Alligator mississippiensis: one gene and its partner. The protein of the gene in region 2 interacts with the protein of the main gene of each other region in a pairwise test. Links are inferred from orthologs where the notes say so. Each region holds a gene or a part of one and is shown on either strand. Other genes may lie near its edges.

The links.
Region 1: the proteins of MYOZ1 (region 2) and FLNC interact in a two-hybrid assay, tested with the Homo sapiens proteins (2 studies listed by BioGRID and IntAct). The link is inferred for Alligator mississippiensis from reciprocal best matches to the Homo sapiens genes MYOZ1 and FLNC.

Annotation. Positions count from the first base shown.
Region 1 is NC_081827.1:2,766,939-2,782,144, forward strand, and holds the start of FLNC (filamin-C), read right to left. Parts: upstream 8,073-15,206; 5' UTR 7,587-8,072; coding exon 7,256-7,586; intron 1-7,255. Other genes in the region: CCDC136 (coiled-coil domain-containing protein 136), read right to left, coding at 13,046-13,153, 14,142-14,285, 14,389-14,656, 15,132-15,206.
Region 2 is NC_081829.1:25,424,883-25,440,345, forward strand, and holds the start of MYOZ1 (myozenin-1), read right to left. Parts: upstream 7,242-15,463; 5' UTR 7,026-7,241; intron 4,917-7,025; 5' UTR 4,891-4,916; coding exon 4,815-4,890; intron 2,198-4,814; coding exon 2,016-2,197; intron 1-2,015. UniProt on the Homo sapiens protein: Myozenins may serve as intracellular binding proteins involved in linking Z-disk proteins such as alpha-actinin, gamma-filamin, TCAP/telethonin, LDB3/ZASP and localizing calcineurin signaling to the sarcomere.

The DNA of each region.
Region 1 (15,206 bases), on a different chromosome or scaffold from region 2:
GCTCAGCGCTATAGGGCCCATGACACGTGGCCGAGCAGCTCCAGCCGCTGCCATCGGCGGCAGCCCCGGCGGGTTGGTGCACCACAGCAAGTCCCCCGAGATGAGCAGGGGGCTGCTGGGTCAGGGCTTGGAGAGGAGAGCTCAGCTGCCTGCTGCGGGGGAGCCTGGTGTGCGCCAGCACTGTTACACTGAACCGGCTCCACCCCAGAGGCGGCTGCACCTCAGCTTGGGCCAGCCCGGCTCTGTGGCTCTGGACCCCCTTCGCTTCCTTCCTTTGGCTGCGGGCTGGAGCCGCCTGCCAGCAAAGCCCCTCGGGCTTATGAGCGTCCTGGGCCGGACGCCAGAGAACCAAGGAGTCTGGGCCGCTGGGTCCCCGGTTGCCACCCAGGCGTGCGGGACCCCAGCCCTGCTGCTCTGGCCTAGGACACCCCCTCCCAAAACCCAGGTGTCCGGGCCCCCGTTCCTCCAAGCATCCAGCCCGCCCCATCCCCATATCCAGGGCCTCTCGGGGCATGGGGGGCCCAGACCGGCGGGGCTGGGGGACGGCATGGGCTGGACCCTGCCGGCAGCTTGGCCCCAGCCCAGGCAGGAAATCGGCTGCAGATGTTCCCTGCAGCCCCTGGGGTGGGGGAAGGGCCGGGGGGGGGGGACGGGACTGGTGCCCCCAGAGCTACTCAGCCTTGCGGGGGGGGTGTGCAGCTGTTGCCCCCACCCCAGGGGAGCTGCCAGCTGTCGGCTGGGAAGCAGCTGGCAGGGGGTGGGGAGGGGCCCCTTTGTTCGAGCAGGCCTGGAGACCTCCCCACCATGCCTGCACACGCATGTGCAAGTGGCACACAGCGTTGCATGTGGCTCCGGGGCTGCAGTGTGGCCGTGTTCCCCCCCAGACTCAGCTGCATTTTGCTGGGGCCCTGATAAGGCTGGGGGAGGAGGGGGTGTTGCTTGAACCCCGCCCCCCCAGTGCCTCCCCCAGCCCAGCTGGGTTTCCACAGCCCTCTTGCACCCTCCAGCTCCATGCATGTCATGTCATGAGTTTGCAGGGCTCATCCATGCCTGATATGGAGGGAGCTGCCCCCCCCAAGCCCTGCTTCCCTCCCTTGCAGCCCCCACAGCCCCCCCCAGCTCATTGCTGAGGGCTGAGGTCAGCGAGCAGCCGTGTGCAGCCGTGTGCGTGTGCGAGGGAGCCAGGGCCACGGCTCCGGCCCAGTGCCTCCCCAGGGGAATGAGCTCAGCGCCCAGCGGGGGGGCTGTGCTTAGGGGGGCAGGCGAGGCTTCGCATGTGCATGCATGTGCGTGAGTGTGCCCGCAGTGCTGGGTGTGTGTGCATACTCAGGTGCAGGGGCATGTGATCTTTGGGGCTCCTGTGTGCGTGCCTCTGTGCATATGTGTGTGCAAGTGATCCTCTCTATGTGCACACATGAGCGTGGCCTTGGGTGAGTGCAGGCAGGCATGCGTGTGAGTGGATGCATGCATTCCTGTGTGTGTGCATGTGATCTTCTGTGCACACGTATGTCCATGTACAGTAGACATGTGCCAGTGCGCGGGAGCCACAGGTGTGTGTGTATGCATGTGTGTGTGGGCAGTGCAGACACAACTCTGTGTGTGCAGTCTTCTGTGTTCAAGTATGTGCACAGGCATGTGCATGTATGTGTGTGCGTGCAATTCTCGGTATGTGCATGTGCGGGCGTGCGTGTGCCCATGTACTTGTGTGTACAGGGAACATGCTGTGGGTGTGAGGGGCACCGGCAGGGCTGGGGGCAGGGGCTGCAGGTCGGGAATGAGAGGCACCAGCAGGGCTGGGAGCTATTTCCAGGGCTGTGCTGAGGGGGGGTCAGGCCTCAGCTGCAAAGAGATTAGCCAGGAATGTGCCCCCCCAGCGCCGGACACGCCCCCAGGCCCAGCTGCTGCCCCAGCCCCACCCAGGGCTCCCAGCCCCCTGGCACTCCCAGAAGCCCCTCGCTCCTGACCCGCAGCCCCCTTCCCCCCCATCTCTGCCGGTGCCCCTCACTCCCAGGCCGCTCAACCCATGAGCTCATGCCCCTCGGGGTGGGGGGTGGTTCGGACGCCATAGCACCCCGCCTCCCCCCAAAAGCTGGGCCCTGGGTCTCCCCGTGTCAGAGTCCCCCCCACCCTGGCAGCTGTCCCGGGATTGGGCCCAGGGGACCGTATGGGGCAGGCCTGGCAGCTCTGGGGCTGGGGGGGGGAGGGAAGGGCCCTGGTGCCCCGTGCAGCTGCCGGGATGGGGGGGACGTGACAGGTGCCGGACAGCTGGGCCCGCACAGGCGGAGGCACCGGCTCACAATGGCCGGAGGGGCGGGGAGGGCCACGGGGTGGATGGATGGATGGACCCATGTCCTGGGCCCCGTGGCCCTTCCCGGAGCCGGGGTCTGTGAGCGGGGGGGATGGGTGTCTGGGGGCTGCACACGGGTGGGCCTCTGTGTGTGTCTGGGAAGGGGACTAAGGTGCTCTGAGTGTGTCAGGGGATGTGGGAGGGCAGAGTGTGCGTGTGTATGTGGGCACGTGTGTGTGCAGGTACGGGTCTTCGTGCATGCACGCGGCTGTGTGTGCATGCGCATGCGTGCATATCTGCGTGCGCACACGCTTGGTTGTGCAAATGTGAGGCTCTCTGGGTGTGCATGTGTGTCTGCTTGCATGTAGGTGCATGTCCGTGTGTGTGTGTCTGCATCCCCGCGCCACGGGTGCTCAGGGCACAAGTGCAGCATGGCACTGGGGCCCTGGCGTGTGGGGGGGGAGGGGGCGTCCCATGCCCCGGCTCCTGCCAAGCCCCACGCCCTGCCCATGGCCCTGCTGGTGGGGGGCAGGATCCTGGCCCCGATCCCAGGCACCCCCCCCACAAGCCAGGGCAGCTGGAGCCAGGCCTGGGATGAGCTTCATTTTGTCTTGCCCCCCCCACCTTAATCGGCTTGGCCCCCGGCCAGCGCACATACACAGCGCACAGCACGGCCCTGGCCCCAGCCCAGCGCCCCCTCCTTCCCCTCCCCAGCCCTGGCGCAGAGCAGCCTGGCACGGGGGGAGGCGGTGAAATGCCCCCATCCCAGGGCAGCCACGAGCAGGATGGGACCCCCCGGCCCCAGCACAGCGTGGGGGAGCTGGGCAGAGCGAGCCTGTCTGTGTGGGGGTGGGAGTGGGGAGGGCAGTGTGTGTGTGTGTGTGTGTGTGTGCAGGGGTGCAAGTTTTATATGTGTGTGTCTGTGTGCATGCATGTGTGTGCATGTTGGGGGTGTGCATGTTTTATATGTATGTGTAGGTGTGCATGCGTGTGTGTGCATGTTGGGGGTGTGCATGTTTTATATGTGTGTATGTGTGCATGCGTGTGTGTGCATGTTGGGGGTGTGCATGTTTTATATGTGTGTATGTGTGCATGCGTGTGTGTGTATGTTGGGATGTGCATGTTTTATGTGCATCTGTGTGTGTCTGTGTGACGGGAATGTGTGTTTTACATGTGTCTGCATGTGTGTGCATGTGTATCTGTGCATGTGAGGGTGTGTGTGCATATTTTATGTGTGTCTGTGTGCGTGTGCATGTTTTGTGTGTGTGCACACACATGCAGGTGTCTGTGTATGTTTGTGTGTCTGTACATATTTTATGTGTGTCTGTGTCTTTGTGCCTCTGTGTGTGCCTTTGTGTGTGTGTAAACTGATCCTTTGTCAGTATGCATGGGAGAGAAAGAGGCAGCTCTAGGAAGGACTGTGTGTGTATAAGTGTGCATTTGTGTATGTGTGTGTGAGACCCAGGTGTCTGTGTAAGTGTACCCTCTGTGTAAGAGAGAGGGACAACTCTAGGAAGGAGTGTGTGTGTGTGTGTGAGAGAGAGAGAGAGAGAGAGAGAGGGTTGTGTAAGCATATCCTGTGAGAGACAGACAACTGTGAAGGGAGTATGTTTGTGTGTGTGTGTGTTTACATGTGAGCATGTGTTTGCGCGTGTGTTTATGTGTGTGTGTGTGAGACCCAAGTATCTGTGGAAATGTACCCTCTGTGCAAGAGGAGGGCACAACTCTAGGAAGGAGTAAGTGTGTGTGTGCATGTGTATATAAGGCCCAGGGGCTGTGTAAGCATATCCTCTGTGTGAGAGGGACAATTGTTGAAGGACTGTGTGTGTGCGTGTGTATGTGTGTGTGTGTGTGTGTGTGTGTGAGAGAGAGAGACCCAGGTATCTGTGAGAGAAAGGGAGCCCTCTGTGTGAGAGCAAAGGACAACTTTAGGAAGGAGTGTGTGCATGCATGTGTAAAAGAGAGAGAGAGAGATGTGTGTGTGTGTTATCGGGGGGGAGGGGGGGGTTAAGAGACATAAAGAGCCAACTCCAGGGTGGGCAGCATGTCTGAGAGCCTCAGGTGCGGGGTCTGTGTTGGTGTGTTCTCTGTGTGTGCATGTGTGTGAGCTCTAGGGGGGCGTGTGTCTGTGCAGGGACACGACTGTTGGTGCAGCCTGGACCAGAAGGGGCTCAGCGTGCAGAGCAGGGGGGTGAGAGGAGAATCAGCGTGTGGTTCCAATCAGCGTGTGTGTGTGCCTGTGTGCAAGTGTGTGGTTGGCAGGCAGCGCCGTGCCTGCAATAGGGGTCTGTGCAAGGCCAGTGTGTGTGTCAATGACATGCGAAGATCAGTATGCGTGTGTGGGTGTATGAAGTCAGCGTGAGATCAGGGGGAGGGGGGAGCTGAGGGGGAGGGGAGCTGGGGGGTGTGCCTAGGATGTGTAAAGATGTGTGTGTGTATGTATGCATGTAGGAAAAACTCAGCACAGTGTGGCTGTGGTGTATGTGTGAGACTGATTCTCAGAGCAGTGTGTGTAAAGTTGGCGTGTGTGTGTAGGAACACCTCTCAGTGCAGTGTGTGTGTAAGGCTGGTGTAAGATCAGTGTGTGTACATGACAGAGAGGGAAGGAGAGAGACTTTCAGAGCCCAGTGTGTGTGAGCTCAGCTTGTGAGTGCGTGTGAGGTGTGCGTGTGCATGTGTGTGTGTGTGTGAGAGAGAGAGAGAGAGAGACTTTTAGAGTTCAGTGAGTATGTTTGATTGGCATGTGTATGTGGCTCAGAGCAGTGTGTGTGTGTGTGTGTGTGTGTGTGTGTGTGTGTGTGTGTGTGTGTGTGTATCAAGCACTCTTAGTGCAGTGTGTGTGTGAGTGACTTTTGGGGCAGCGTGTATGTGAAATTAGTGGGCCTGGGCCTGAAGTCAGTGTGAGATCAGTTTGTGCATGTGTGTGTGTGTGCGCATGTGTGTGCATGAATAACTCTCAGCACAGTGTGTGTGTGGTGTATGTGTGAGACCAACTCTCAGAGCAGCGTGTGTGCAAAGTTAAGTGTAGGAACACTGCTCAGCACAGGGTGTGTGTGAGGCTGGTGTGAGATTGACCTCCAGAGAAGTGTGTGCGTGCATGTGTGTGTGTTTATTTAGAGCATTGCGTGTGTGAGGTCAATGTGGGTGTGGTAGTGACAGAAGCCAGTTACAATTTAGTGCACACTACACATGTGGCACTCTGAGCAGTGTGTGTGCATATATAGGAACAGCTCTCAGAGCAATGTGTGTGTGCGGGGGTGATTCTCAGAGTGTGTGTGTGAGGTTAGAATGTGCGTGTGCATGCATGTGCCTGAAGGTCAGTGTGAGATCCATGTACATACCAACAGCTCAGAGCAGCAGTGGGTGTGAGCAAGGTTGGTGTGAGAGTAGTGTGTGTGTGAATAACCCCCAGCACAGTGTGTGTGTGCCAAGTTACTGTGTGTACAGTGTCTATGTGGGTGACTGGAAGCATATGCATGTGTTTGCGGGGGGGTGTCTGTAGTCAGTGTGAGATCAGTGTGTGCAGGAACAACTCAGAGCAATGGGTGCGTGCAAGGTTGGTGTGAGATCAGTGCATGTGTGAATACCTCAGAGTGTGTGTTAATTGTGTGTGTGAAGTGTGGATGACTTTCAAAGGGTGTGTGAGTCAGCATGTGTGTGTAGGAACAACTCTCAGTGCAGTGTGTGCGTGTGTGTGTGAGGTTAGTGTGAGATTTGTATGTGTGCATGCCCCCAGCTAAGTACTTTTGCAAAGTTTGTGTAGATGACTCTTGAAAGGTGTGTGAGGTTAGTAAGTGTGTGTGTGGGTGAAGTCAGTGTGAGATCAATGAGTGTGTGTAGGAACAACTCTCAACACAGTGAGTGTGAGAAAGGCTGGTGTGCGATCAGTGTATGTGAGTAATCCCCAGAGCAGTGTGTATATGTGTGTGGTTAGTGTGTGTGCATGTGTGAAGTCAGCATGAGATCAGTGTGTGTATGAACAACGCAGAGCAGTGGGTGTGCACAAGGCCAGTGTGAGGTCAGTGTGTGCGTGCTGTCAACGCAGTGCTTGTGTGAAGTTAGGAAGTTAGTGTGTGTGTGTGGATAGTGTGTTTGTGCATGTGTATAGTCAGTGTGTGTGTGCATTTAGCGCATGCAGTTATTATATGTGTGCATGTCTATGTGTGTACAGTTGTGTGCGTGTGTGCCTGGGTACCCCAGCCCAGCACTTGTGTAAAGTTAAGGAACTTAGTGTGTGTCTGTGTGTGGGCAGTTAGTGTGTGCATGCATGCATGTGCATTTAGTGCATGTGTGTGTGCAATTAGTGCATGTATGCAGTTGTGTGCAAGAGCACCTCCCAGCCCAGTGCTTGTATAAAATTAAGGAAGTTTGTGTGTGTGAGAGAGATCAGGCAGTGTGCGTGTGTGTGTGTGTGTGCGCACCCACAAAGATGTCTCCCAGCCCATTGCTTGTGTAAAGTTATGGAAATGTGTGTGTATGTGTGTGCATGTGACACAGAAAGAGAGAGAGAGCGATCAGGTAGTGTGCACATATGCAAAGGTGCCCCCCAGCCCAGTGCCTGTGTAAAGTTAAGGAAGTCAGTGCGTGCGTGCGTGTGTGTGTGTGTGTGTGTATGTGAGACAGAGATCAGGCAGTGTGTGTGTGCAAGGGCACCTCGCAGCCCAGTGCTTGTGTAAAGTTATGGAAGTGTGTGTGTGTGTGTGTGTGCGCGCGCGCCCGCAAAGGCGTCCCAGCCCAGTGCTTGTGTAAAGTTAAGGAAGTTAGTGCATGTACGTGTGTGCGCGCGCGCGCGGGCACCTCCCAGCTCAGCGCTTGTGTAAAGTTACAGCATTTCGCGTGTGTGAGCTCAAGCACTGCGTGTGCGCGCCCCCCGCCCTGTCGGCGGCCCCAGCCCAGCGCCTCCCCCGGCCCCGCCGGCCGGCCCCCTTCCCCCCGGCGCGGCGCGGCGCGGCGCGGCGCGGGACGCACCGATGGAGACGAGCTTGATGCGCTCCCGGTCCAGGAACTCGAGCGCCACGGACACGTTCTCCAGCTTCATCTGCCTGAAGTTGGGGCGCGCGTGGAACTTGCGCAGCATGCGCTTCTGGCTCAGCACCTCGAGCAGCGCGATGAGGCGCAGCCCGTCGCTCAGGTCGCGCTGCAGGTCGCCGATGCGCTTGTTGGCGCCCTTCAGGTGCTCGTTGCACCAGCGCGTGAACGTGTTCTGCTGGATCTTCTTCCACGGCGCGTCCTCGGCCAGGTCCTTCTCGGTGGCCGGCATCTCCTCCGCCTCCTCGCCCGGCGCCTCCTGGCTGCTCATGGCTGCGCGCAACTCCGGGGGCTCCGAATCGGCCTCCCGCTGCGGGCTCCGGAGGTCCCGGGTAGCACCGGGGGGTCCTGGGCGCCTCTCTGGGGGCGCGGGGCGGTTTTAGGAGCGCTGGATCCTGCTGCGCGCGGTGCGATTTTCAAACGGGGGGTGGATCCGGGTGGGGTCGAACTCGCGGGGCGGCCTTAGGGGGTCCTCGGAGAGGCGCGCGGCGATGCGGGGTGGCGGTCCCCCAGCGGGTTTGCGGGTGCCCCGGGAGGACTTGCGGGGCGCTGGAGGCTGTCCCGCGCAGTGCGATTTTGGATCCGGGCGCGGTCCTGGGCAGGCTCGGGTCCCTCGGGCGCTGTCGGGGGTCTCCGGCGGTGCGGTTCTGGGGGCTCCCCGAGCACTTTCGGAGGTGTCCGGCGCGGCGCGGGGCGTTGTCGGGGGTCCCACGCGGCGCGCAGCGCGATTTTGAGCGGGCGCAGTGGCCGCAGGGCGCGGGGAGGGGGCTTTAAGGCGGCGCTCCCCGCCCCGCCGCGTCAGGCCGCTGGCCTCCGCGGAATGCCGCCGGGGCCGGGACAAGTAGGGATGCGCGGGCCGCGCGCGGCCCCCCCGAGATAGCGCGGGGCCAGCGGATTGGGCGCCCGGCACGGCGGGGGGCGCCATTGGCTGCCCGGCCCCCCGGGGGGGGGGAGCGGCTCAGCGCGCAGCCTATTTTTAACCTCTGCTGGGTTCTGCGGGGGGATGGGCGGGGAGGGGGAGGGGGCTGGAGGGAGCAGGGGAGGGTCCTGCCCGGCTCCCCCAGGGCCAAGGGAGGGCCCTGCCTCAGTTTCCCCAGTGTGCAATGGTGGGCGGGGTCCTGCCTGCCCCCCCCATGCCGCAGTTGTGCCCTGCCTCAGTTACCCCAGTGTGCATCGGTGTGTGGGGGGGGGGGGGTGTCCTGCTGCCCTCCCAGTGCTAAGGGAGTTCCCTGCCTCAGTTTCCCCAGTACATGATGGTGGGCGGTGGGGGGGCGGGGCTGTCCTGCCTTCCCCCCAGCTCCACGGGAGTGCGCTGCCTCAGTTTCCCCACTGTGCACTGCTGGGGGGTAGTAGGCGAGGTGGGGGGGGGAGGAGGGGTTCTGCCTGCCTCCCAGCACCATGTGAGTGCCCTGCCTCAGTTTCCCCAGCGTGCATTCATGGGCGATAATAGGAAATGTCTTGCTTGCCCCCTCAGTGCCATGGGAATTCCCTGCCTGTTTCCCCACTGCACATTGGTGTGGGGTAGTGGGGGGGTGTCCTGCCTGCCCCCCCAGTACTGCAGGAGTGCCCTGCCTCAGTTTCCCCCTTGCACATCAGTGTGAGCAGTGGTCTCCCTGCTCCCCCCACCCCAACCCAACATGGGAGGGGGGGGCAGGGCAGCCAGGCCCATTCATTCGGGCCGGGTGGAAGGTGCTAGAGCCGGTGCCATCACGGCGCAGAAAAAGCTGCCCGTGACGCACCATGGGGGGCGGGAGGGGGGGTCCTGGCGCGGCCGGCGCTTCATACCTCTCCCATGATGCGCCGCTCAGAATAGCCCATGAGCGGAGCGCCGCGCGGCCGTGACGCAGCCCCCGCCTGCCCCCACCTCAGGGGACATGGGCAGGGCACAGGGTGTGCCCGACGGGGGGCTGCCCCCGCCTTCACCCCACAGCCCTGGGCTGGTGGGCACTGGGTTCAAGTTCTCCCTCTGGGTGGGTGAATGCAAATCGCAGAGGCCTGGACCCCCTCGGAACTGAGCCACCCCCTCCAGAGCAGCCTGCCCTGGGCACCGGGGCCGTGGGGGCGAAGGCTGGGCCCACGGATGCCCCTGGGCCTTGCCAAGGGAATCCCAATCCCTACCCCATGCGTGGCCTCGAACGTGGACCCACCCCCCCGCTTGCTGGGGGGGCTGCACTGGGGGGCTGAGATGGAAATAACCCACCCCGTCACCAGGCTGAGTCAGAGTGGGCCAGATTGGGTGTCCGGGGGCGGGTGGGCACCGTGCCAGCCGGGATGGGACGCCAGGCCTGAGCTGGGACGTCGGGCGGGGGGGGCCGAGGAGGCTCCCAGGCGAGGCTGGAGGGGATCGTCCCGGATGCCTGGGGTCCCGGCGGTGAGAAGGGGTGTGGAGCAGTTGCACGGGGAGCCCAGACTCCTGGGTCCCACTCTAGTGGGATTTAGTGGGGTAGAGCTGGGGCTCGGACTGGAGGGGGCCTGCCCAGCTGGGCGAGGCAGGCAGGATCGGGCCCTTCCCCTGTGTGCAGAGAAGGGGGGGGGGGTGCGTGGTGTCGCGTGTCCCCGCTGTTCCGGTTTCGCACTCGGGCCACGGCTCAGGTTCAAAGCGGCCTCGGGTCCTGGTCTGTGATTCATGCTCCTGGCTGGGCCCCGTGGCCCCCCCCGGCTCCAGCTGGACGCGGGCGCTCGAACCTTCCAGCTCTCGTCGGAGCCGGACGCGCTGCCAGCGCTGACGGGGGGTGGGGGGGGAGCCCCGGACTCCTGGGTCCTACCCTAGCTTGGGGAGGGGGCCGGGGCCTGGTGCTGCAGCTGCCCCCAGGACTCTGGCACGAGAGCAAAGCAGGGTTTGGGGGGGTCGGGACTCCTGGCTTCTATGCCCGAGGCTACGGGTGTCTCTGGGACGGGGGTGCTCTCCTGCCTCAGTTTCCCCATGGGCACAGCCTGCCCCTGCTAGGGGCTCCAAGACCCTGGGGCGAGAGCAGCCAATGACAATGTAACCCTGGAGCCGCAGGCGCTTGTGACCCCCCCACAGCAATCCCAGCTCAGCGCCCCGCAGCAGCAGAGCTCCAGGGAGTAGAAGGGGATGGGGGGCTCCAGGCAGGCCCAGCAGCCAGGGCCCCCCTTGGCTTCTCCCCGCGGCTCATGGGGGAGAGCAGTGGCCTGGAGGCCTGGGGTCCTGGCCCAGCAGCAGGCTCCAAGCCAGGAGATGGCGGGGGGGGGGCGAGTATGAGTGTCCCTGCAGCCGCCAGGCTGGGAGTCCTGAATGGCTGGTGGGGGGCGAGGGGGGGTGTGAGCTGGGGCGGCTATTAATAAAATGCCAAGTCAGAGCCGGCAGGCATCAGCCGCCCGAAATACCCCTGCTCCTCCCCTGACCCCAGCACGCATGGCGCCGATCCAGTCCCGTCCAGCCCTGCGCCGCGCCGCGCCGTGCCGTGCCGGGGGGGCTGGGCTGGGCCGAGCTGCCCTGTGTCGTCATGCCCAGGATCGGGGCCGTCTGTACATGCCTGCGGCTGGGTATGGGCTGGAAAAGCCCCCGAGGGAAGGCGTGGGTGGGTGCGGGGATCCCATGTCCTGGCAGTGAGTGGGGCTTGGGATAGTAAACGTGTGTGCACGTGAGCCAACACATGGACACACACCAACATGCATGTACACACACACACAGGTCAGCATATGGACATGCATACACGTGGGCTGGGATATGGACAAACATGCACTAGCGCGTGTGCACACCCATGTGCCAATAGATGGGCATGCCAACACACACACGAGCTGGGCTATGAACTCATGCACACGCACACACACAGGCCAGCACATGGAAGGACACACACCCAGCCTGGGGCATGGACACACACGCCAAGAGATGGACAAGCCAGGATATGAACATACATACACGCCAACAGATGGATATGCCAACACACACACGCACATGGCCAGACACACACATGGGCTGGGATATGGATGCACACACCAACACATGTGCCAACAGACAGACACACACCAACACACACACAGCTGTTGGCACATGGATGCACAGGCCAGGATGCAGGCACACACACATATGCACACATGTGCCAACAGCTGGATGCATGCCAATACATAGACACAGGCCAAGATATGACCGCACCCCCCAAACCCCCCTGCCTCTGACACACATATAAACGGGCCAGGATGTGAACACACACACACACGCGCGCAAACACACACAGGCCGTCTCATGGACACCCCCCTCCCCTTGCAGGGCACACAGCCCGGCCGCGGGTGCTGAGTCACGGCGCACAGAGCAGGGCCCGGCCGCGTCACGCTGGCGCCCAGCTGGCCCCAGCCCATCCCAACACCCCCAGCCCGGGGCTCCCAGCTCGGCCCCCCCAGGCAGAGCCATGGAGGAGCTGTGGGGGCTCCAGCCAGGTCCCCCGCTTCTCCCCCACCTCCAGGGAGCTCGAAGGATCCCGGATGCCTGGGTCCCCTCCCTGCCTTCCCTAGCTGGGGTGGGGGTGGGCCTGGACCTGGGGGCTGTGATGCTCCCCCCCACCCCAGCTAGGTGCCCCCTTTATGGGGGCTGCTGAGGGACCAGGGGGACACAAGCTGGGGCAGGGCAGGCTGCGATCACCCCCCTCCCCACCCCATGCCCTTGTCTGGGGTCCAGCCGCCCTGGCAGCTCCAGGCAGCAGCTGCGCGTGCGAGGAACGCGGTGAGTAAGGCTCACACGTGTGTGTGTGCACGGTGACAGGGACACGGTGTGCTTCATGCTTGGGCCAGGACAGACCCCCGCCCAGAGGGAGCTGGACACAGGAGCCCTCCAAGCCGGGCAGCCACCAGCCCCACGTGAGACCCCCCCCGGCAAGCCCCTGGCAGAGCAAATGCCCCTGGTGCAGGACCCCCCACCCCAGCCCGTCGGTGCCCCCGTGCCCACCCCCCAGTGACGTGGCCTGCACACGGATCCAAGTAAGTGCTGAGAAAGTTCCTTTACTGAGTGACAATGGAGAACCAGGAGAAGGAGCAGGCTGGCACCCCTGGGCGGGGAGGAGGAGGTGGGGGAGCAGCGGGCGAGGGCAGGCTGGGCGCAGGGTCTTGGATGCCCGCCTGCGCGTGCTCTCATGGCCGGCTCAGAGCTGAGGGCCACGGGGTTGCGGGAGGATGGCGAAGGATAGGCCCTCGTGGCACTTGGTGACACGGGCACATGCCCATGGGTGCCACCGGCAGCTCTCCCGTACCCCCAGGGAGCGAATAAATAAACAAGCACAGGAAGGGGCTGGTCCCTCCCCCCCAGGACTCCCCGAAGCTAACCCTTATCTCGAGGGTCTCCAAACCCCCCACCCTGTGGCTGCAGCTCTCTTTGGCGGAAGTGTAGTTATTGCAGCGGGTCCGGCGGGGAAGGGAGCCACGTGCGGGGCAGCGCCATGCCAGGTGGGGCTGGGGGTGGACCCGTGTGTATTGCTCTGTTGCCCCCCCCAGCTGGGTGAGGGGTGGGGATGGTGGGGGGCAAGACTGGGGCCCTGGGTGGGGTCCTGGGAGAGGGAGGGGGGTGACCCCCTGCCCCTGCCAAGTACTGGAGATGTCCTTGGGCCAGTGCCCAAGGTTGGGGGCTGGCATGGGGGGGAGCTGGCATGGCTGGACTCACCGGGGGCAGTGACTGGGCCGTGCCGGGGGGCGGCTGGAACACAGGTCTCCGGCTGTCGTCGTTGCGGGGGTGGGGGGAGCGGGGAGGGATAGGGTGGGGGTGCCCACGGACACGGGCACCTAGGCGGGCAGGGAGCAGGTGCAGGCCTTCTTGAAGCAGGGGACCAGGAACAAGGCGGCAGCCGCCACGGCGAAGAGGAGGATGGGCTTCAGCCCGCCGGCCGGGACCTGCGGGGGCACGGGACGGTCAGTGCCAGGACAGCCACGTACGATGCCCGGGACCCCTTGCCTTGCCCTGCTGGGGGGCAGCTTGCAGGCACGGGGCACCGATCCTGGGCACCAGCGATCACCCCCTGCTGGTCACTGGGGGGACGGGCCCTGCCAGAGATCCCCCCCCAGCAAAGGGAGCAGGGTGGGGGGGTTGGCATTGGCACCGCAGTGGCAGGGTTTGGGGGCACAAGCCAAGGGGAGAGGGGCAGAGACAGAGAGAAGGGGGAGAGGGGCAGGGGACATGGCCCCGGGCATGGCACACAGAACATGCAAAGCACATGGCACATGCAGGGCACATGGCACGTGCAGAACTCATGGCATATGCAAAGCACGCAGCACATACAGGGCACATGACACATGCACAGGTCATGGCATATGCAGAGCATATGGCACATGCAGGGCTCATGGCACATGCAGAACACATGGCACATGCGGGGCATGACACATGCAGACCTGCTGGCACATGCAGGGCACGGGGCAGCAAGCACTTGGCCATGCACGGGGAGGCAGGCGGCAGCAGCCCCGGCGCGTACCGTACCTGAGCAGCCTCACGAGGTCTCGGCCCACCAGCACCAGAGCAGAGCCGCTATAACCACCAGTCCCACGAGGGGCAGGGAGAGGACGGGGGCGCCGGCAGTGGGGCGCGGCTGGGGGGTGGGGGGCAGCGGCAGCCCAGGAGCAGGGAGGGGGCCCGGAGAGGAGAGAAGAGACACAGAGAGATTAGACGGGGTGGGTAGGGGGTGCTCGTGGGCTCCGGGCTGGGCCCCACGGCCGTGTGGGGGTGATGGAGACATACAGGGCCAGGCCGGGCATAGGTGCACAGGGTACCCTGCTGGGGTCTCCTGGGCTTGGGGGGGGGTAGGGCTGGAAGTGCTCGTGGGCACCGGCTGACACCCCAGCAGCATGCCACAGGCACCCCGCGGCACCGGCCCCCGGTGCCACCTACCCGCCCGCCGCAGGGCACGGTGCCGTTGAGGCGCTGGATCTCTTCGCGGCACAGGCGCAGCTCCTCCATCAGCTGCTCCCGCTCCTGCCGACTGGCTTGGTACAGCCGCTGCAGCTCGCGCAGCTCCCCCTGCATGTCGTCGCACTGCCGGGGCGGGAGGGCAGGCAGGTGAGTGGCGCGGCACGTGGGTCAGCGCTGCTCGCTGCGGGCTGCCCACCGGGCCCCCACCCCCTGCTGCCCCCGGTACCTTGCTCTGGGCCAGATGCACCTTCTCCTCCTCGCTCTGCAGCTGGAAGCGCAGGGTGACCTCGGCCTCGTTGCCATCCCGGCTCTGGGACCTGGAGCCGTCGGCCGCCCGCTCTGCTGCGGGCCTGAAGGAGATGCTGCTGGACGGGCGGGGGCTGGCGCGCCGGGGAGAGCGGGACCGCCGCGGGGGCCCGTTCACATCCAGCAGCTTGGTGGACTCCTCCGATTTGGTCCTGGCCCTGGGGCGGGAGCCCGGGGTGGGATCAGCCCTGCACCAGCCCCGGCCCAAGTGAGATCAGCCCCGTCATCGTCACAGCGCAGCCGGGCTGGGGGGTCACATCCAGTCCAGCCCCCCAGCTCCGGGCAGCGTCACCCCGTCCAACCCCCCCAGATGTGGCCTGGCCCTGACCCCAACCCCATGCTCAGCAATGAGGCCCATTGCCCCACACCCCCTGGTCCTGCCCCAGGTGATGCCAGGGAAGAGGGGGCACAGTGCCCTTCTACTGCCAGGGGGTTCAATGCACCGAGACCCCAGGCCATGCCCCCACTGCAGAGGGAGGGGAAACCCCCCCAGTCCAGGCTAGGCTGAGCAGAGAGAGACCCTCGAGACAGAGGGCAGCAAGCAGGAGCCCCACAAGTCCCACCGGCTCATCCCATATGGGAGGCACGCCGGCACGGGATATAGGGTCCCGGCTGCAGGCGATGCCCGAAGTGGTACCCGCCGGTGCCCAGCATGACCCTCACCTGTACTCCTGAGCCTCCAGTTTCTCGAGCTGGTGCACCATGACCTTGTTGCTCTCCTGCAGGGTCTGATACTCC
Region 2 (15,463 bases):
TGTGTTGTGTGAATTAAGTGTGTAATCATTGTGAAATTGTGCAATCAACTAACTACTCCCCCAGCCAGTGCATCAAACGAATCAGTAAGTTGTGTGGGATTTTCTCTATTCCATAACCCACTAGAGACAAACCTGAGACAAACTAGCCAAAGGCTCCCCAGCATTGAGCCTCACCCTAGTTTGTGGAACCCCATGTAGCATAGCAGAACCATCCCCAACTAGATCATCCCAGCCAAAGCTTTGTCTACTCAGGTCTTGAAAACCTCCAAGGATGGAGATTCCATCACCACTCTGAGTAACATGTTCCAGTATTTTACTACCCTCCTAGTGAGGAAATTATTCCTAATATCTAACCTAAACTTCCTTTGCTGCAACTTGAAACTGTTTCTCCTTGTTCTGTCATCTGCCATCACTGAGAACAGGTTAGCTCCATCCTCTTTTGAACAGTCTAGCTTCATCCTCTATGACCCCATCTTCAGGAGCAAAGGGGGTGGAAGCAGGAGTTGATGGATCCTGGTTTCCACCTCCTTTGCTCCTGACGTCAGGAGTACACACAAAGCTACCCTATTCAATATTCCTGCTTATTGTTTAATAGACTCTTTCTCCTTCAGTTTAATTTTCTCCAAATCCTGCTCCCCAAATTGCTCTTGATAAGGTGAAAAAGTCCCTTTATTTTCTGCTTTAGTGTCAGAAACTAGGGCAGCAAGCCAGCTAAGTTGCCCTAGCTGGCCCTGGTTACCTGAGTGGGCCTGGCTTCCAGCAGCCTAATAATTTACAGCTGGCCCCAGGTGCCTATATGGGTATGGCTTCCTAATTTTTTTAATTTCTTTCAGTAACTGCTAGGTTACTCAGTAGGATATAAATCTTTCTGCCTAGGTTTTGGTTGTTGTTTCTGGGTTCTGTTGGCTGATTTCTTGCTCCAGACTCAAGCCTGGATGTGTTTTGATCCAAAATGACTTGATGGATCCTGATTTCTACTTCCTTTGCTCCTGACTCTAATTTAGATCTCTATTTTCTGACAGTCTGCTCTTAGTTTGTGGCTTAGCTTGGTGGTTTCTTGCACTCCAGTCCAGTACAAGTGGATTGCTCTGAACCCTCTATTTTGATTTAGTGGGGGTTTTTTTGGGGGGGGAGGGGGTTTGTTACCTCCCTAAGTTAAGACCCTTTGGATTGGAGAACAACTGGGCTGATGAGAAGAAACTAAAGCTTTAAGGAACAGACAGGGGAAGGAGATATTGAGTCAGCATTTGCAATTTTGTTTTTCTGCTGCTTCAGTAATTCAAACTCCTGAAATGGGGGGAGGGTGGTAGAAATCTTTGGTGAAAAAGAGAAAAGACTAGCCTCAATTTTTAAGCTTAAATAACAAACTTAGTTTGGGGTAGGAGAAACTGGATGTGCCTGACTTTCTGCACTGTTATGGACAAGAAAAAACAATAGTGAAAATAAAGTAGGATGTTAGGCTTACTGCTCTACCCAGAAGTTCCCATTAAACATCACCGAATAACTACAGTGTTGGCAGCTAGAGGCCTGTACCTGAATTTTACTTCATGGATATTCTCTCAAAAGTGAACTGAAGCCTAAGACAAAGAAGAATGAAAAATACCATGGCCTACAGTGAAAATGGAACAGAACCCAGGGGTCTGAATTCAGGTCTGAATGAAGCACTTATTCCTGGTGGGAGAAGGGAAATGCAATGATTAAAACAATCAACACTCATGTACTTATTGGTAAACAGCTCTGGCAATCTATAGCATTTATAATTCTCCCCATTTGAGTTTTACTGACATTGCTTCATTAATGGGTCCCCAATGTGCCCTGAAGGAAACTAATGCTGAGACACAAAGGAGTGTCACTCTTTGAGCTTGTTTGCAATCATGGCCTTCCCCCACACTTCTCACCAATAGACTCCACATCATAAGGATTCTTCCCGTTCCCAAGGCAAAAGCAGAGCAATTCAACTTTCCCACCTATTCCCATATGTAATGAACCAGCTGTGGTTGCACTCTCTGACCTACCACTGAACTGTCAGTGAAGACATCAGGGTTATTCTCATATATGAATTTCTCCACCCGCAGCTGACGTAGTTTGAACATCTTTGATCCTTTGTTGGTGAGGAGAGAGAGCTCTTCTAGCATCACATCCCTGGGGATGCTGATCTTCTTCCCCAGGTTCAGCTTGGACCCTTCCTGTGGCATGACTAAAAAACATACCAGAAGGTGCACCTTAGCATGCTCTCTGTTCTCTTATTCCCCAGCACCCATGCACAAGTCAAGCATTGTCTACATTAGAAAGGTTCCAGTAATAGAACAGGCCTACACAGATTTCCTTTTCCTGATGGTTTTCTGGACATCTATCAAAGCAAGTTACCCTAATTCCCGTTCAAAATACATCTGGATGCGTGTATGGTAAAGCATTACTACTGCAGACACACCCCATTTTTCAGTTACCTGAATTGTCCACTGCTCTGAGGTCTGTTCACTTGAAAGCCATTTACACTTTTAAACAATGATGACAAGCAAGAAGCAAGGACAAAACTGGGACACCACTGGAATAAGCCCTAAGAGGCAGCCATGCAAATGGCTGAGATTTAATTCATGAGCATGCCTGAAAAATAATTCCCTGTAGTTAATTATAGAGTTTATTTTTGTTTTAAAATGATCTCTGCTGTATTTTGCAGTTGGTCATGATGCCATTAGGACTTTCCTGATTGGCAGCTCTTATCTAGTTACAGATCTGCTGAGTCCCCTGGATAAATGAAAGGGGCAGTTTCCCTTCATTCACTCCATGCTAGGCTGCCTTTCATTCTGTGCTAGGTCCTGCACTACAGCCTAGCTAAAACTGAGGCTAGGGCCCTCCCTTAACCAATTCTTCACCTTTCATTAGCCTCCAGTCCCTTGTATTGCAATCCCATTAGCCCTTTCCAGGGACAGGCTAAGCAGAAGAAATGTAGGGTTTAAACATAAATACAAGCTTTTTAGACCTTCTTTATCTACCCTAAGCAAGAGAGAGTCCTCTTTTTAAACTCTGTTAGTTACTTTTAACTCTTACTGACATGGCAATAAACTTAGATTGAATGCCTGGTTTTTGTATTCCATTCATTTCAGTGGAGTTACAGCAGCTTATAGTAATAGTGACAGATCAGGTGGCTACACCACAAAGACAGGTGACTGTTTTCCTGCCCTTAAGAGTCATTGACAAGGATGGCATGCTGAACCCTGCATCCTTTGGACAAATTCTGACACATGAGCAAAATCCCTGAAAGGATTCTTTCCTCAACAAGCCAGCTTCATACAGCACCATTCCCCAACCAAGGAGAGAGAACCTTTCTCCTGAACATAGGATGTATTTGGATACACAGCTAGTTAAAAGGAGCACTGTTATAGACACAGGGCCATATTTGCTTGTTGGTGTGAATACAGGGCTTTAGGGATGAACCTGAAAGGCTATATAATAGTGCTCTTAGCCCCATTCTCCCTAGCAGAGCAGATTCCAGAGATCCTCTTTGAGAGCTGAGGAAGGAATAACAACCAGTTACTTGCTTTGCAATTCTATGGAAACCTTGGATAAAAAGGGTGTGTCTCTGCTACTTCCATGTTATCCACTCCAATGTGCACAGACAGTGCTGAAGGAAAAGTACCTCCAGTCCTGCAGGACACAGGCTTGCATTCCCCCTCATTTATCTCAGATGAAGAACTTGACCCTATGACTAGTGAGTGCCAGAATCAAGGAGCTTCTACTCTACAGAAGAAAAGCAAATGAGGGCCACAGATAATGACTGAGGGATCTGTACAGCTGCATAGCTCATTAAAGGGACAAGTACACAGGCATGGCTAAGCAGTCACGTTATGCTCTCATTTACCATGATTTAAATCTGGTGTAACTCCACTGTAGTAACTCCATAGTAGCCAATGATTCATCTTAGAGTTTGGCCCAGAGGGATTACTTAACCCCTGTGGAGGGAAGACTAATAAAATATGGTACGGTTATATGCTGGCATCTAACAAATCATGTAGGAGGGCCTACCTACTGGCCTGGGCACTGCAGGTCATGTTCACCTATTAGACTCCAAGGAAGGACAGGAACAACATGCTTCCAGGACTCTTTCCAGCCCATATGTCATGCTTCCTTACCCTTTCCCATCCCATTCATCATCTAGCAGTCTCCTTTGAAGGGCTAATTCAGACCTGCAGAGCACCAAATAGAGGCCAGCAGTAAGTGGAAAACACAGGATGCTACCTGCAACAGCATAGGTGCCAACTTTGTTTTTTGCCAATGGGTGCTTACAGATGTAAAAAAACAAACAAAAAAACCAAAACGGCACTTTACTTTTAACTCAGTGTGTTCAAGTGCCGAGCCCTGCACATGCCCAGAAGATGCAGTGCATTACTTCAAGCCAGCTCTGAAGCATCTGTAAACATCGGGTGCTTTAGCGGGGCTTTTTTTCTAATAGCTGATTAAAAATGCCAAAAAGCTCCACTGAAGTGCCTGATCTCTACAGACTCTGCAGAGCTCATTTGAAGTAACCTACTGCTTCTTCCGGTAAAGCATAGTTTGTTTGTTTTTTAACATCTGCAAGCATGGCTCAGTGGGTGCTGACCACCTGCTAATTTTTTTGGTGGGTGCTTGAGTCCCAGAGCACCCACAGAGTTGGTGCATTTGTGCAATGGGCATTGTTAGGAATGTGACCGTTCTGTTACCTCCCAGGTGTCACCTTCCTAGATACAGAGGTGAGCAAATGCTCTATCTTGGAGTTGTAATTTTATGTCTCACTGAAACCTACCAACAGGAATTTCTGGGAGATATGTGCATCTTACCTTCTTCACTTAGTTTCCCAATTAGTTTAGTGGACTTTTTCCTCTTGATGGGAGCAGGAGTTCCTGCCAGGGGCATTACAACAAAGGAATCTCTCTTTCAGTCTAAGGAGACAAGGAAATAGAGAATGAGACACTGGAAAACTAGAGCAACACAATGGAACCAAGTATTCTGCCTCTGCTTTGCGATGAAGCACGCAGCCCTTGTTTCATATCCAGATTCTTCTCCAAACCCTTACCTGTGGAGTAACTGCTAAAAAAAATCATCTTCCATGTCAAGCTGTAATGATGTCTTTGTGGTTGCTTAATATCAAGACACAATATGCCAACATATGGCAAAGTAAGCATCCTGTTATAACATAATCTTGCCTCACCAAGACACCGCACTGTAACATCACAGTGTTAAAGCACTGTGCTACACCATGCCTGTTATTGTTTTAGCAAACAATGACAAAAAGTCATATTGCAACATCACACCATGGCAACATAAAATTGCTACAACGCTATGTAAATATCATTAGGTGGTGGGAGATCATCTGCTTGTAATGATGCTGGGGTATCTGCCCAGGAGAAGATACTTTGAACATTTGAATAACATGGAAGCTTAGATGGTGGAACATAGGATAGTCCTAATAAAGTTAGAACTGTCCCTCAAAAACTGAGCAGATGACAAGCTGCCGAGATCTTTCTTTCCATAATGGACCTGGTCTTTTACCACTGTAGGTGATCCACTCCAAAAGAGCTAAACAAAGGAAACAAGTGGCAAGCAGGCTAGACGAAAAAGCCCCCATGCTTTGAAGTCACCTACACTTGTGTCTTATTTATTCAGTTTATCACAGACCCTTCAGGTTTGGGGGACTTGATTTCACACATCATCTTGTCCTTGTCTCCCTTAGGGGGAGAGGTTTGAACTACAAGGCTGAGAGAGCAGAAAAGAAAGCCCTGCAAATCCATTTCAAACCTTCCTCCACCCTCAGTCCTGCATGGTGGTGAAGGTGGCACAAACAACTTCTAGGGGTCAGATCCTAGGCTGATATTATAAACTGGCACAGCTCCAGGGACTTCAGCTTCAAATTGCAAAAGTCAGCTGGCTGGAAAGCCTAATTATGTCATTTGTCCCCTTTGCCATTTTGCACTGGGATTCAGAACTGCATCCTTTAAATTGAGAGCTATGTTAAACACAAAAACAAAGAAACAAGTGCCCTAAGAATTTAGGCAATGTCTGTGGCACATATTTTGCCATGCAGATATTTCTCAGTACTTCTCCATTTTTTTGTTTTGCTTTTGGAACATGCTTTTGAGAGGTGGCCAGACAGCTGATTGACTCCTGTGCTAATAGCAGCTCAGCCAGACCAGACCAGCTCTGTTTGCTCTTGGCAAGTATGGTATTCTCCTGGGTTAGGTTTTCTTCCTGATTTCCAGGGTTTACTTTCTATTGATAGCATCTCCATGAAGTTCACATCATAAAAGTGCCAACCATGGTATATTCCCAAATAAAGTGTCAGCAGGTGCAGTGTAAAGCATGCACTATGCATTCTCCTCTGAGCAGCCAGACATCTGTTTAGCTATATAAAAAGGGGAGGGTGCTGTTTGACAGGACAGGCATGATGCTGCCAGGATACCTGGGTGGGGGAGGGACTGGGAATTTTTAGAGTGGGAAAAGGGAGAGAAATCTGCCTGCCTGAAATATGAACTCCCAGCAGTAGGTGGGGAGAGGTCATCCCACTAGGGGTGGAGCTCTGTTAACACAACACAATAATCCCAGGGTGAGATTGAAGGAAACCTGCTGTGTCCTCTCTCTAATCCTTCACTGATTCCCAGGCAGGCTCAGGGCCAGGGGAACCTATAGTGCTCACTGAGCCCAGGGGAGGAGAGGGAATCCCAGGCAGGACAGGAATCCTGCAGTATTCAGTTGTCCCCTGGCTAAGCCAGGATGATAGATCATTCAGAGACTCCAAAGAGAGAGGCTACCATGGTCTTGCACCCAACTACTATCCCAGGCACAGAGCTGGGGCAAGAAACACAGCTTTCCTGCAACTGGGCTGTGCTCTGCAGCACAGTTCCTCCCCACCAATCTGCAGCAAACTTTCCAGCACTGCTTTCCTGTCCCCAGGCTGCAGTGTGAGGCTGGTCTCTACCTTCTAGCTCCATTTCTGCCCTTGTCCTCTTCTCTCTAGGCTCTGGGGTTGTTATTTTGCTGTTAGAAGAACTCACCTCAGGCTCCCAGTGCCAGGCTCAGACACATATACACACCCCTTTCCCAGGGCCCTGCTGCAGCGGGATGGCAGGATGGTCTCCACGTCCCTCCTCTGGGCACTTTGCAGGAGGCTCGGCTCCCAGCCCCTGCTCACCCAGGGCACACGTTCTTAGTCCAGGTCTGCACAGCACAGAGTGCTGATGCGGAGTGCTGTGAATTTGACTCCTGGAGACCGGTCACACAGGCATCCTGAGGTTATTAATAGTAGACAGCACAGAGTACATGGGTCTCAGATAGCACCAGCACAGGGGAGAGGAGGAAAGGAAAAGAGTGCACCTCAGCACTCCTATTGCTCCTGCAGTCCTGATCCAAACACCATGTGGGTGCCTGGCTTGTCAAAACCATTGCTCTTCTCCCTCTGTATAAAAGCAGTGTTCTTTTCCCATTCAATACTATGCTACACCTTCATAATTCCTCCCCCTCCTGCGCTATCCTATATCCCTGTGTGCCCTGCACACCCTTGAACCTCACTTGACTGCATGGCACCTTCTGCACCCACCTCACCCTGCACGCCACTGCTTCCTCTAAACTTCTATCCCCTACTTCACACCCTTGTAATTTCTCCTCCCCCAATGCCCTACTCCAATGATTCTCAACCAGGGTGATGTGGCACCCTCAGATGCCTTAAGATCTTTTCAAGGGTGCCCCACAGTGTTAGCAGTGTTAGGGGTGCAAATATGATTCACAAGATAAACTCAGAGTTTTCAAATAGGAACCCATACTATTAAAAGCTTCCTGCCCTGTTGTGGTCTGAGTTCTTTGCAACAGATGGTTTACTCTATTATTTTTCTGTAGTCAAAAACAGAGTAAAAACAAAGAGCTGGCATTTTCTCAGTGCTGCCTCAAGTGTGCCAAGGGGTGCCTCAAATCTGAAAGGGTACAGAGCACATGGCAGGGGAAAGGGGCACTTTCCATCTCCAGGCAGAGTTCCTCTGGGCAGCTTCCACCAGAGCCAGAGAACTTTCCTTGAGGAGAGGTAGGCACAGTCCGTAGCTTTCTGCCCAGTCTTCCCTTCCGGTGCCCCGATTTTGATCCTGTCACCACATCCCCATCCCTATTTCACTATTATTCCTTCTATAACCAGCTGCCTGACTTTGTGTCACCCCACCTGGAGAAGACAGGCTGAGGCCTACCCACTCCAGGGTTATTCCTCCCAACTTTTTCAGCAAATGAAGCCAGAGTCCTACAGATCACAGCCTGCTTGATGGCAGGGCCAACTCATAGTCCAAGACATGCCCCCCCGCCCACCCATGCACTGAATGAGGCAGGATCTAATAAAAAAAACTGCAGAGTTAAAATGAAATGATGGATCATCAAAGGAGAGCCTCATGGTAGGCTAATTCCCTTCGGCCTGGTGTAAAATGTGTGCAAACCCTCCCAGTCAGATCAATGCAGTGGCATAAATAGCTGACCAGAATGTAGGGTGAGAGTGAATTGAGCCCTCATAGGTCCTGAATCCAAACCCCAGAGGAGCAATGCTCTGGGAATCAGGATGATGACACAGACAGTAATCACCTCACTACCTCACAGTAATCACCTCACCTCACAGGGACTGGGAGCCCATCTCCTGGCACGCAGCCTCCTATCACTCCTTCTCTTGCAGCCGGCCACTGCCTCCTTTGTGCCCATGGAATAACCTAATTTCCTTCTCCACTCACTACTGCAGTAGGCACCACTTCCTTCCCCAAGGATCCCAAACACAGCTGACGCACAAGGCAGTTGACAGATGGTAAGGTCCGTATTCTCCTCTCACTCTCGTGTGAATTGAGAGTAATGACATGACACCATGCCAGCATAACACAGCTGCAAGTAAGTGAACAGTCTGGCTTTTAAGATTCTCTGCCTGCTGTAGGTGCTGCTTGAGAGCCAGGCACAGGGATCCTCATTCCATGGGTAGTCATTTATGAGTGTGCGAAGTCTAAGTGTAAAACATCATCACAGCCAGCTACCCACTGGCTTAGGCTGCTGCTGGGGCTTCAGCCAAGTATAAATGGCTGAACAAAGAGCAGGTTCTTCACTTCTGGCCCAACTCTGCACATTACAAGTCATAAAGGGCCAAAGGTTTGCACCATGTCCTGGTGATCTTGGGGCTGGTTATGGATTGGGTTAGCACCCTACCTGGATAACCAGTTGCCCAGGTCTCAGTAGCCCCTCTTGCAGCAGTTTAAGTGGACAAACGCTTGACTAGGATGGTTTGCTCAGGGATGAGCCTGGCTTGAGCAGGGAGTTAGACTAGTCAACCTCCTGAGGTCCCTTCTAGCCCTACTTTCCTGTGATTCTAAGTGTTCCTCTGAGTGGCCCCATTCAGGTGCCTACCTGCTGTGTACAGGAGGACACATAGAAACTTGTTTCAGGCCCAGCTTGCAAATACTGTCCATGCTGGGCAGCATTGGAAGGATTATTTTCTTCTTCCTGTAAGGCATATGTAGCAGCTATATTCTGCAGCTCAGGGAACTTCTCTTCCCTGCCACGACATGCATATGAATGTAAGGGATTTGTGCTGGTGGAAAAAGAACAGCAGCTGGGTGTCTGCAAAATGCAGTCACTGCTCTGGGTGGCGGAACACAACCAGAGACCAGCCACAGGGAAGGTCTGAAGAGGAGGAGGTTGGAACAATACGGGGGACCATTTAGATCAGGGGCAGGCAATTATTCTGGGTGGAGGGCCACTTACCGAGTTTTGCAAGCTGTCAAGGGCCGCATGGGTAGCTCCGCCCCTTGACATGTACCACGCCCCCTGGTTGCCATCTTGGGACTGGAAGTCCTGCCCCCTAACCCCTGACCTTTGCCACAAGAAGTCCCTCCCCTTCCCCCAGAAGTACTCCTTTCAGCAAGGGGTTTTGCTATCCCAGAAACAGAAAAAAAAAATTATATTCTAAAAAGTGAACAACTAAAACATTCATTAATTTGATTTAAAAAAATATTTTTGTCCCGCTTTACATGTGTTTCTGTAGTGTACATCAAGGTGATTGTATATAATAGCTTAAAATGAAGTCTTACTCTTGTATATTGTTGGGGGGGTATAGGTTTGTGGGAGACTGTGGTTGTGTGAGTATGTCAGGTGTGGGGGAGGGTGTGGGTGTGGGGTGAGGAAGCATTTGGGTGTGTGAGGAGATATTGCACCCAGAAGTACTAAAGGAACTGGCAGACATCATAGTGTGGTCACTGACCAGGATATTTGAGAATTCGTGGCACTCGGGTGAAGTACCTGAAGATTGGAACAGGGCCAATGTGGTGCCTATCTTCTAGAAAGGGAGGAAAGAAGATCTGGGCAACTACAAGCCAATCAGTTTGACCTCAATCCCTAGAAAGATCTTGGAAAAAAATTATCAAAGATACCATTCTTGACAGGCTAACAGAAGGCAACATTCTGAGGGATAGCCAGCACGGGTTTGTTGTGGGTAGGTCTTGCCTGATCATTCTCGTTTCCTTCTATGACCAGGTGATGTATCACCTGGACAAAGGAAAAGAGGTTGATATCATATATTTGGACTTTAAAAAAGCCTCTGACCGGGTGTCCCATCATTTCCTTATGGAAAAATTGGGCAACTGCGTCCTCTACTACGCTACAGTCCGATGGCTGGGGAACTGGTTCCAAGGTCAGACCCAGAGAGTGGTAGTTGATGGAACCAAATAAACATGGTGCGTGGTGACCAGTGGTGTCCCCAAGGCTCCATTCTCAGACCTGTACTCCTTAATGTCTTTATAAACGATCTGGACTTTGGTGTCAGAAGTGGACTGGCCAAGTATGCTGATGACACCAAACTTTGTGGAAAAGTATCCACATTTGAGGATAGGCTGGTGATCCAGGTCAACCTTGATAGGCTTGCAAGGTGGGCGAATGAAAACTTGATGGCATTCAATATGGAGAAATGTAAGGTGCTCCACCTCAGAGGGGAAAAAACCCACATCACAATTATAGGCTCAGCAATGCTACACTTGCTAGCACCACTACCGAAAGAGACTTGGGGGTCATGATTGACCACAAGATGAACATGAGCCACCAATGTGATCCTGCAGTTGGCAAAGCAAACAAAACTCTAGCTTGCATCTACCGATGCATCTCAAGTAAGACCCAGGATGTCATCCTCCCACAGTACACAGCCTTGGTGAGGCCGCAGTTGGAGTACTGCATCCAATTCTGGGCTCCACAATTCAAGAAGAATGTGGAGAAGCTTGAAAGAGTTCAGAGAAGAGCCACACACATGATCAGAGGGCAAGAAAATAGGCCTTATGAAGAGAGTCTGAGAGCCATGGGACTCTTCAGCCTGGAAAAGCACAGGCTCAGGGGTGACTTGCTGGCATCAGTACACAAGGGGTGTGCATCAGGATCTCGGGGAATGCCTATTCATCAGAGCATCCCAAGGGATGACAAGGTCGAACAGTCACAAACTGCTGGAAGACCATTTTAGGTTGGACATAAGAAAAAACTTATTTACTGTCCAAGTGCCCAAGGCCTGGAATAGACTTCCCCCAGAGGTGGGGCAAGCACCTACTCTGGACACTTTTAAGAAACATTTGGATGCTTATCTTATTGGGATCCTTTGACCCTAGCTGACTTCCTGCCCTTTGGGCAGGGGGCTGGACCCAATGATCTTACGAGGTCCCTTCCAGCCCTAATGTCTATGAAATCTATTTATATGTGGGGCATGGGTGGATATGGGCTTTGTGGGGGCTACATGTTGGGGGAGTCTGGCTGGGGTGTGTGAGGGGATGTGGGGGGCTGCGTGTATGGAAGTGCAAGGTGGGGGTGTGGTTGCATGTGTACGGTGAGTTGTGCATGTGGGACTCACCCTATAAACACACATACACACACTCCCTCCCTACACAGACACACATACATATACACACCGGGGTACCGGCACAACCCCGTGCTCTCAGTCCAGGAATGCAGCCTGGAGCCACATGGTGCTGGAGCAGTTCAGGGGCAGGAAGGCAGGGAAATGGCTGGGGGTGGGGTGGGGCTGGGCTTCTGGCTCCTGCTGCCAGTTCTCCCTGGGTCCTACTGCCCCTGTCTCCTGTAATCTTTGACAGGCAGCCAGGAGCAGATAAGTATTTTCTAAATTTTAGGGGGTCCCTTTGGTCGGATAGAATGGCCTGACAGGCCAGATTCAGCCCAAGGGTCATATCTTGCCCACCCCGATTTAGATCAAATAAGGGACTTGGAGAAGAATGGGCAATGGAAACCAGTTCCCTCCTGTATGCGCCATTCATGATGTCCTATTTATGTGAATCCCATTTGCTACCTTTCCTTTTCCCATGCCCCATTCCTCCACCCCAATTTCTCTTCCCTCCACACAAACCAGATTTCCTGTCCTAACCACCTGAATAGCAACACCTATCCTTTGAGCTGAGTTGCTTTTCTTTGTGCCTGGCCTTTGCAGTGCTGGTTTTGGTCATGGGCCTCCTCCAGAGAGAGAGAAATGCAAGTTCAACCAAGGCTCTTTCCTCCTGTCACCAACGTGATGTTAAAATCAGCCCTGTTCCAGTCCGAGGCTTTCTGGATGGAAGATAATCATGAGGGAAGAAGTTCATGCCCAAGAAATGGATATTACCTGGAAACAGATTGAACCCTGGGGTGGCCAGAAATGTTGCTATAAGAGGAGAGACCTGTTGTCATGCTCACCTCCCCCAGGTTTGAATTGCTCTGCTTCCTTCCCTTGCCCCCATCCCACTGGTTCCTAACTGATTTTTCAACCCAAGCAGTGGCAGAGAGTTACAGTTGCATAGAAGACAGGAAAGCTGGCATCAGAGTACATCATGGACATACACAAAGACCCGGCAGCAGTAGGCATGATGCTTCCATACTCACTGGAGGTATAGATACAAATGATCCATGGAGCCAAGGAAAAGTTAGGGCGGTATAGAAAGAAAGAAAGAGATTCAGGGAGGTGGAGGAGAGGCCATGATTGCAGAAAGTTATGAACGGAGGGAACTCTGCAGTAGGAGAGTATTTCTTATTGGGCTCCTACTCCAGGTTCAAAGACACCAATGAGTTGGGCAGAACCTAACATCTTGGCCAGCACTATCCATCAGGCTCTAGCCTGTTAGCTACTGCTGAACAGATGAAGATATCCAGGCAGACCATGTTTGTCCCAGTAGGTCACTCCACTTCCAGGACCCAGCTCTGATCTTGCTTACACCACTTTCACAGCAGTGTATTTCTATTGGCTCATATGGAATTCCTTTTGATTTACACCAGTATGAGTAGTAAGCAAGCAGAAGTCCCCATTTCTAATCCCAGCTTTCTGTAGCTGCCTATAGTCTGAAAGGTGATACAGTAACCCTCATTCTGTTCTATGTAAAGTCCTGCCCTGTCCTTGGAACCTCAGCCCCGAGGAGGTTATTTTCTCTCCTCATGTGTCTATATATACAGAGCTGGAGGCAAAGCCCAAGAGAGCCGAGGGGGTGGAATGCTTCCCAACTCCACACTGAGCACAAGCACTGACAGCCACCTTCTGGGGCCCTCAGAGGGGCAGAGGCCAAACCTTTCACAGCCACTGAATTCCTGTTTGCATGGCATCTGCAGCATTCTAGGGCAGAGATCAGCAACCCCTGGCATGTGTGCCAGTTAGTGGTGCATGGAGACATTTTCCCCGGGACACCAAGAGAGGTGCGGGAAATTGTTTAAACAAACAAAAAAACCCATTGAAGTTTTGGGTTCAGGCTCCTTGGAGCAGCCACAGGGCCCAGCACCGTGGCTGGCACCGAGGGACAGAGTTAGGGGAAGAGAGGCAGGGGCCCTGGCTCTGTTCTGCTGTGCCCTCCAGCCCGGCCTGGTTTCTGGAGGAAGCAGGGCTGTGGCCCAGGCAGGCACTGCAGAGGAGGCTCCCAGCCCTGGTCCCGAGGCTCAATGCCCTGTCCCAGCCAGGCAGGGGCAGCACCAGGGCACCAGGGGCAGAGTCTGGGCAGCGTGGGGGGAGGCACTGGGGACAGGCCAACCCCTGGAGAAGGGGGGCTGGGCAGAAAGCAAGCTGCCCTGGGGCTCCATGGGCTTGGGCCGCAGCAGGCAGGTGGACGGACAGGGGCTCCCAGCAGTACCCAAGGTGGGACCCCGCCTGCGCAGCTCTGCAGGGTTGGGGTGCAGCCGCCCTGCCCACGGGGGATGCTGCCTGGCTCGGGGGGCTCCTGGCTCTAAGCTCGGCCTCCCTGCCCACTGGTGCAGCATGAGTGGGGAGGGGTGGAAGTGCCCTGGGTGTAAGGGCCTGGCTGCGGGAAACCCCCGGGGCCCTGGGAATAGCTGCTGCAGCTGCCCCGGCCTTGCCTGCCCGCAGCTCCTAGCCAGGGGCCAGGGCCTGGGCCTGAGAAGGCACTGCGGAGGGCCTCTCACTGGAGGCTACTGGCCAGCTCACCCCTAGGGGCTGGAGCAGCGCACTGGGTGGACAGCGGGGGAGGGACCAGCGTTGCATTGCCTCAGGCGCCTCTGCTGCCGGCTGCCCAGAGGGGAGCGCACAGTAGCCACTGGCACAAAGCCCAACTGGGGTCTGAAGCCCATGGGGTGGGGGAGGCTATGGCCACCTCAAAGTTCACTTTAGATCCCCTGTAGCCATCCCTCTGGCTCCAGCCACTGCCTGCCCCAGTCTGAGCCTAGCCCCCTACCCAGGAGCACACAGCTTTGCAGGCTCTGCCGCACAGGGCAGGCTAAGACGAATTTTGGGGTGGCCATAGCCCCCCCCAGCCCCCCTAGTGCCACCCTTGCAGCTGGCTGATGGGTGGGTTCCAGGCCAAGGCCCTGGCACTGGCTTCCTAGGAAAATACAGGAGCTGTCGCAGGCCCAAGGTGTTGTTGGGTTGGACTTGTCCTGTGGCCCAGCAGCCTGGCCAAGTGTGTGTGTGTGCATGTGTGCACACACGTGTGTGTCTACTTCTGTGTGTGCTCATGTGTGTGTCTGGTTCTGTGTGCACATGTAGTATATGAAGTCTTAGTTACTGTTACCAGATTTAGAATGTTTAGAAAACCTGGTATTTACTGTAAAAAAAAGGAAAAAAAAAGGACCATTTATGATTATTAACTATATTAATATGCAGTGTGTCCTGCCATGTACCCCCTGCCCAGTTTTGTTTCTCTGACATGCCAGCACTCTGGTACCTTACAAGGCAGACATAATGGTTTTTTCTGCACTCCACCCAAAAACGTTGCCTATTCCTGTTCTAGGGGATTGCAGACTGGTCTGAGTACCAGGCTCCCATCCCTGAGAACTTAACAATATTAGGCAGCATCTCCTATTTCGCTCCAACACAAAACTGAGCTTGGTGAAAAATTCACTTTGAGGCTCCTTTTTTGATTCCGTGCTTGGCTTTCAGCCTTCTCTTTACTCCTAGCCATGGGTTGTTTCTTCTTTAGAGTTGAAGGTACTTCTCGTCCCTGGACACAAATGTATGGTTCATTAAACCCAG